2 linked regions of the Lonchura striata genome follow. The protein of the gene in region 2 purifies or fractionates together with the protein of the main gene of each other region. This does not show direct contact. Links are inferred from orthologs where the notes say so. Each region holds a gene or a part of one and is shown on either strand. Other genes may lie near its edges. The genes, in order: FBXW11 and RBM19.

Region 1 (3,903 bases), on a different chromosome or scaffold from region 2:
ACACTAAATAACAATTATGGAAAGCTTCCTGGGAAAATTAAGAACAGGCTTTTAGCACATATTGAAGGTAAATGCAAATCACAGGGTTGATGCAACTGAACACAGATTTTATACACAACTCTGATCTGCAGGTAACAAAACTTATTTCACAAAGCATTGCAGTTGGTTCTTCAAAAGAGCAAAAAGGTCACAGTTATCTAATTTCACTGAGAAAACCAAAACCAGGGGCAGAACGAGCCCTTTCAATGAGTGGTCCTCCATCTGTTCTGGATTACCTCCTCACTCCTCAGCCGCCTGCTGACACCCAGCATTTCCCTGAGCCCACGACTGAACCAGCCCCAGCCCTGCCAGACACAGGGAGCCTCAGCCTGGGCAAACCAGTCAGTCCCAGCTAACCTCGGGGGTATCCCACCCATACAGGTGGGCACCACCTGCACGTGGAAGCTGTGAATGGCATCACTCAATGCTCATCCCCCTGGGAATGACTAAGGACAGCATCCACAGAAGCAGCACACAGCACGGGAAGAGTTCAGCTGATCTGAGGGACACAGTGGCTTGGGAATACTCACTAAAACTTCACACAGCAAATCAAAGTTGTCACTCTGAAACTTTGAAATATTTATCTGAGATTCCAGCCTTAAAAATAGAACAGTATTATTTCCATGACTGATTTTCCTTTAAATAAATGCAAATGATCAATCCGGGAAGGCACAGTTCAGGGCTAGAGCAGCATGTTCTGAAACTTATATGCAATTAACATGTTGACACATAACCTCTTGTTTATCAGCCCCTCAGAATTACAGTGTATTTGCTCCTCAGAACTTTCAGATCACACATTTGCTCCTGTATTTACTACAGATTCATCCCTGGCACTGGAAGGAAGCAATGCACCAAACCCCATCTCCCTGATCAAGAAGAGGTATCAAACATCTTTTAGGAATGTGGAACACTCTTAAAAAGAGCAGCATCCCCCCAAGTCTGCCAGGCAGGGAAGATCCTGGGTTTGGGATGTTTCCCACAGCACCAACTCCCACGTTTCCAGATCACAAAGAAATTCCCAACAGGGAACTCAGCCCAAACAGCTTCTGCCCTGTGGATTCAAACCAATCTCCTGGCGAATCTCCCCTTCTGCACCACATCAGAAGGCAAAACCTCCACATCTGCATTTAGGAGTGATTTTCAATGCTTTTAGGGAAACATCTCCACTCAAACATAAGTGATCTTGTGCAAGCCTCCACTAAGGTTAACATTAAATTCAACTACATTGTAAACCATTTATACATTGTATACCATCTTCTCCTGGCAACCACAGAATTAATTGTTCATCTCACTCAATTTTTATATTTATCAGTTTCTTATGAAAGAGAGAAAAGTGTATGTCTAAAACCTCCTACTACATACTAAAACTCCTATTAACCCCACAGATATTTGCACGGATTAGCACATTTCCCGGCTCCAGCAAGTGGAGGATACAACACTCATCAGCAAAAGTCCCATTTGCTTCCTCCTGATACAACCTGGCCGCAAAGAGGAGAGACTAAAATGGGAGAGCACTTGCGAAAACATGGAAAAGCGGTTTTTGAAAGTTGAGGGAGCCAAACCTTCCAGCTCCAAATGCTACCTGAGCAACTCACAGAACTCAAAGCAGAGGAGTGTTGGTGACTGTTCCACGGAAGGAAAAAACCAGAGCCCAATTCCCAGGAATTTAGGAGGCATCTCTCAGGGTGGCTGGCCCTGAGCTGGATCCCCACAAAGCTGCCAAGCCTTGTCCTCCCTGCTAAGGGCACTGATGGCTCTGATGCCCCCCAGGGCAAGTGTGAGACCACAGCACCAGGGGAGGAGGCTCCCTAGGAACAGCTTTTAAGCCCCTGCCCTCAGTGACCAGTAACATTAATGAAAGATACACAAAGGCTTTCTACGTTCCTCTTTTTCTTTCTCATTTTATTTCTGCTTTTTGAGACCAGATAGCACACTTGAAGAAAGTTCGTATTTTCTGGATCAGGTAGTTTAGCAACAACTCAACTCGCTAAAAAACACATTTATGTCTCCACTGAACCCAGCTCACCTTCAGAGTGCATTAAAGGGAAATTATTTGCATTTTGCCCCTCAGTTCTGGAGAACTGTATGAAATTCTGTATGTGAGAGCAAATTACACTTAGGAGAAAAAGCAATTATGCTTCTAACAAATAAATTAGAAGATATTTACCGACTACTATTCTCTCCCTACTCCTAATTTAATTTTATTCACGCCTAATGCAGTAAAACGAGGAGTCTCCATTTGCCTATAGAGATCTAATTTGCTTATAGTAAAAAAAAAAAAATTCAGCACCTCTTTCTACTGCTCCCACCTGGATGCCTCTCCACTAACGCGAAATTAGCGGTGTAAGCGTTAATTAGGAGTATAACCAATACACCAATTAGGTCTCGTTAGGTAATTCCGAGTGTGCTGGACCGGAGCTGCAGCACCGGTGCTGCCCCGGCCCGGGGCCCCGAGGCTCCCCGGCGGGGTCTGATCCGCCCCCGGGGGCGCGGAGGGCTCCGGCCGGCCCGGGGAGGGGCTGGAGCCGGAGCCGTCCCGCCCGGGGCATTTCGCTTTCGGTTCGTGCCCCGGCCGGGCCCTGCCTCCCGCCAGGTTCATTGTAGTTATTTATTTATTTCCAATGAAACGCAGGCGCTCGTGGCGCCCCGGGCGGGCCGCGGGAGCGCGGCGGAGGCGGGAGCGAGCGGATCGCCCCGCGGGGCCGGCACGGGCCCGGCACAGCCCCGCGGAGGCGGCGCCGGACCCCGCGGGCCGGGCGCGCCGGCGGGGCCTGAGCCGGGGGGGGCGAGAGGGCCCGGGAGGGTGTGCGCGGGGGCCGGGGGCGACTCACCATGAGCTCGATGGTCTTGTCCTCGATGACCGAGTCGGGCTCCATCGCGGCGGCCGCTCCGCTCCGCCCGCCCGCCCGGCCCGGCCCCGCCGCCGCCCCGCGCCCGCCAGGCCCCGCCGCGGCCCGCCCGCCCCCGCCGCGCGCCCGCGCACGCGCGCTGCGCCCGCCGTGACGTCACGGCGCTCGCGGAAGGGGCGTGGCCCCGACGCGCCTGGCCCCGCCCCCGGGGCGGCTCCGCGCTGACCATTGGGCACGGGCGGCGCGCGGGGGATGCCGGGAGGGGAGGGGCGGGGCCGGGGCGCGGCGTGAGGGGCCCGCAGGGGAGCGGGAAAGGGAGCGGGAACGGGAATGGGAGCGGGAAACGGAGCGGGGAAACGGGAACGGGAAAGGGGAACGGGAGCGGAAATGGGAGCGGGAAAGGGAATGGGAAAGGGGAACGGGAACGGGAGCGGGAAACGGAGCGGGGAAACGGGAACGGGAAAGGGGAACGGGAGCGGAAATGGGAGCGGGAAAGGGAATGGGAAAGGGGAACGGGAACGGGAGCGGGAAACGGAGCGGGGAAACGGGAACGGGAAAGGGGAACGGGAGCGGAAATGGGAGCGAGAAAGGGAATGGGAAAGGGGAACGGGAACAGGAAAGGGGAACGGGAGCGGGAAAGGGAACGGGAAAGGGGAACGGGAGCGGAAATGGGAGCGGGAAAGGGAACGGGAAAGGGGAACGGGAACGGGAGCGGGAAACGGAGCGGGGAAACGGGAAAGGGAAAGGGGAACGGGAGCGGGAAAGGGAACGGGAAAGGGGAACGGGAGCGGAAATGGGAGCGGGAAAGGGAACGGGAAAGGGGAACGGGAGCGGGAACGGGAGCGGAAATGGGAGCGGGAAAGGGAACGGGAAAGGGGAACGGGAACAGGAAAGGGGAACGGGAACGGGAATGGAAATGGGAAGAGGAAAGGGGGGCGGGAATAGGAATGGGAACAGGAAAAGGGAGAGAAAACGGGAGCGGGAAAGGGAATGGGAACGGGAGCGGGAATGGAAG
Region 2 (3,903 bases):
TCCTGTTACTCCTCCCTAATGACACAGGGAAAGCACAAATGGCACCCCCCAAATATCAGACCCAGGGAAAGCACAAATGGCACCCCCCAAATATCAGACACTGCACGTGCCACAGCTCCCCAAATGTGGGCAAACAGGCAGACATTGCCAGCACGCAGAAAGGTGAGAGCCCACCCTCCTGGTGGCACTGAGCCCAATCTGTCACTCCTTGTGGCAGGAGTTACTGTGACTGACACAAGCAAAGGCTCACAGCTCCCTCGGGTACCTTTAATCTCCTCCTCATCTTCAGAGGGTTCATCCCCACCCTCACTCAGCTCCTCAGACTCATCTGAATCAAAGTTCAGGTAATCTGCTGCTGCTGGTTTTGCCTTCTTAGGCTCTTCTGCCAAGGTGTCATTAGCCCAAGTGGCCACCTGGGACCGCTTCTGGTGAACCCCCAGGAACTCCTGGAATGTTTTATCTTCCTTTAGCTGTGGGAAAGAAAAAAACAACCAAAAAATCAAAACAAAAAACCTCCAAACAAACAAAAAACAAAACAACAACAACAAAAAAAAAAAAAACCCAACCCCCCCCCAAAAAAAAACCCCAAAATCAAAACAAAACAAGAAAACCCAACAAACCCAAAAAGAAAAAAAAAAAAAACCCAAAAAAAGAGAAAATACTTATAGTGAATCTGAAATCCAAGACATCACCTCATTTCCAGCACTCTAAAACCAAAAATCCCTTAAGGGGAGCTCAATTTTCACTGACAAGGTGATTAAAGTCTTCTAAAGGTGTCTCATTCCTACTCTTTTTTATAATTGCTGTTTAGAAAATTTACTTTAGAGAGGAAAACAAAACAATAAAAAGAGGAAATAAAAGAGAAAAAAACAGGTAAGATAAATGTGACAACTCACATATGTTTAAACCCCAGAACTCTGAAACAGAGCAGACCTGGATGCAGTGTGTGCTCACAGGAGCAGCTGACCATTAAAAAATCCCTGTGTTGGGATTGTTAAAATTATTTTTTACACTGGAACTGGGCTGCCCCAGCCTGAATCAGCAGCGTGGGAAGTAGGACAGAAAAGAGCAGTTCAGCAGCAGGAATGCAGGGACAGCAGTCCAACCTCAACTCACCTCCTTTAAGTTATCCACTGGATCTTTCTTCTTTTTACCCTTGGGAAAAACCCAGAGAGGTTTATTAGAAGCACAGGCAATTCCAGCAGCACAGGGAACAGACCCTGAGGCACAGAACACCAGGAGTCCAGAATCTGGTGTGCCACCTGCTCTGCCCCTTCCCCACGGCCAGGCCACCCTCCCCTGGCACTGGCACCCAGCAGAGCCCCGGGAATCAGGCAGGACTCACCTTCTTTGTGCCTGCAGGAGCTGCACTTGCCAAGGGCTCCTTGGTCTGCTTCTCTGAGGCAGGGGCCTTCTGAGAGTGCTTGCTCCAGGCTTTGGGTTTTGTAGGGTCACCAAAAGACCTGCACAGCTCCACCTGGAATGAGTCAGGTCATTAAACACAGGGCTGTAACTGCTGGGGAACTCCACTCAGCAATTCCTGATGGGATGGAGGGAGTGTGCAGGAACAACTTTTACAAGCACAGAGCTACACATTCAATCACCACGGGAGAGTCAGGAGTGGGCAGGCACAGAATCCCAGGATGGTTTGGGTGGCAAAAGGCCTTAAAGTGCCACCCCCTGCCATGGCAGGGACACCTTCCACTGTCCCAGGGTGCTGCAAGCCCCGTCCAGCCTGGCCTTGGACACCCACATCTGCTCTGGGAATCTGCATCAGGCCCCCCCACCCTCCCAGGGAAGAATCTCCCCCTAAGACCCTATTCCTTAGGAGTCTCAGGGAGATATTTCTGGAGCTCAGCTCACCGTGAGTCTGGAGGTGTCGATGAAGCTTTTGTTGAAGTGGTTCAGGGCTGCTTGAGCTTCATCCTCTGACTTGTAGCCAATGAAGCCGAATTTCCGGAACCTTCCATCCTTGGTGTACTTGAGGCAGCAATCAGTGAGCGTGCCAAAGGCAGCAAAGAGCTTCCTGAAACGCTCCTCCTTCATCTGGAGAAGGAGGGAGGCAGCAGCAAGGGAAATCAGCCCCACACAGCCGCTGAGGACAAGTCCAACCCAACATATTCTGTCTCAAAAGCCTTCTGGAAGGCTGCAGGAAGCACACTGGGAACCAAATCCCCACTTCAGCCACCGAACCTGCTCTTGTACCCAGGAATCCGCACGTGGGGATGGGGAACAGGGCGGGATCCTGCCGGGCACAGGAGCACCGAGGGCACCTGCACCCAACTCCCGGACAGCGAGCGGGGCACAGCGACCACAACGAGCACTGCCCATGCTGAGGGGCTGCCAGCCCATGCCCCTCATGCTGCTTCCTGCACATTCCTGACTCCTCCAGGAGCTCTCCCACCATCCTCCCCTCGAAGTGTCCCCATGTTCCCCACCCCAGCACTGACCGCGACCCGCATCCCCTCATTGCCCCTTCCCCCGGCACATCTCCTCCAGAAGCTCACCCTCCCACCACTCCTAACCCTCTCTCCTTGCGCGTCTCCCCACTCTCCCCCATCCCTACCACACTCTCCCCTCCCGCTGCCTCTCCCTGCCCGGCATTCCGCTTCCCCCCCGCAGCACCCGCAGCCCCATCCTAGACCCGGCACAGCACAGAGCCTCACCCCATTGGGGAGATTCTTGACGATGAGCCGCGACATGGCAGCGACAGCCGGCACGGAGAGAGGGCACGGAGACAGCGCTCAGCGCCGCGCACGCCGCGCCACGGGCGCCGCCATCTTCCCGGGTCACGTGGGCCGCGCGCGGCGCCGCGCATGCGCGCGGGGACCCGGATGTTGGTCCTTAGCAACGGCCCCTTAGCAACGGGGCCTGCGGGGCGGCGGGAGCGGCCCCGGCCCGGGCGGCCCGGCGGGGCGGGCGGCGGGAGGAGGCGCTGGCACCCCCGCTGCTCCCCGCGGAGCTCCCCGCGGAGATCCCCGCAGAGCTCCCCGCAGCCTCCCGGCCCGCCCGCGCTGCTCGGCGGGGCCGCAGGAGGGAGCTCCGCGCCCGCCGCTCCCGCCTCCGGCCGGCCGCTGAGCCAAAGGCTCGCCAGAGATGTCGAGTTTGCCTTTGGGTGTTATAAATGAAAATTTGTCCAGCCAAATTAAAATGGAAAAAAAAATATTTGTTTTGCAATTCAAATTCTATCTAGCCAGCCACAAGGAAAGGACAGAGCCGAGCCCGGGGTCGGCCCCGGGTGTGCAACAAGAATTCAGCCTCAGCAGAGGTTTCACTCTGTGCCCACACACCTCCATCCTGGCACAAGCGGTTTTTATGGGGAAAATTTCGCCTGAGGCCAAGATTTCAGCAATCAGTCTTTTCTTCCATTCAGAGTCCATATTTTAATAAGATTTTCCTCTTTTGGTGATGAAAAACAATTCAGTGTCCAAGTTGTTGAATCCCTTGATGGAATTTATGGGAACGCTGCATTCACATGGATCTGCCCGAGGATTTCCATGAGATCCATCTCAGGTCATTCTCCCTTTTACCTGTAAATCGGGTTTCAACATACACCAGGTTTCTCCTGCGAGGGTGGGGGCACTCCTAATACAAACGTGTATACTCCAACAAATATTCAATATCACATATATCATATTAGAAATGGCGTGAATTATATCTACTACACATAACGGGGGGATGGCACAGAGAGCCTCAATGTCACACCTAGAAGTCATGCAGAAGGGGGACAGAGGGTCTAAGTCCAGGAAAACTCTGGATCCCTGGATGTTTTCAAGGTGCCAGGTTGGGATAGCAGAGGGTGTCCCTGCCATGGCAGGGGATGGAGTGTGATGAGCTTTAAGGTCCCTTCAAATCCAAACCATTCAGTGATTCTATGAATAAAAGCAGATTCACTCCAAGGCA

Evidence for each region.
Region 1: the proteins of RBM19 (region 2) and FBXW11 purify together in Homo sapiens (affinity purification with mass spectrometry; 3 studies listed by BioGRID and IntAct, with this or other methods). This does not show direct contact. The link is inferred for Lonchura striata from reciprocal best matches to the Homo sapiens genes RBM19 and FBXW11.

Annotation. Positions count from the first base shown.
Region 1 is NC_134617.1:17,021,943-17,025,845, reverse strand, and holds the start of FBXW11 (F-box/WD repeat-containing protein 11), read right to left. Parts: upstream 2,962-3,903; 5' UTR 2,916-2,961; coding exon 2,871-2,915; intron 1-2,870.
Region 2 is NC_134620.1:5,705,836-5,709,738, forward strand, and holds the start of RBM19 (putative RNA-binding protein 19), read right to left. Parts: upstream 2,820-3,903; 5' UTR 2,703-2,819; coding exon 2,667-2,702; intron 2,047-2,666; coding exon 1,864-2,046; intron 1,478-1,863; coding exon 1,346-1,477; intron 1,156-1,345; coding exon 1,117-1,155; intron 471-1,116; coding exon 266-470; intron 1-265. UniProt on the Homo sapiens protein: Plays a role in embryo pre-implantation development.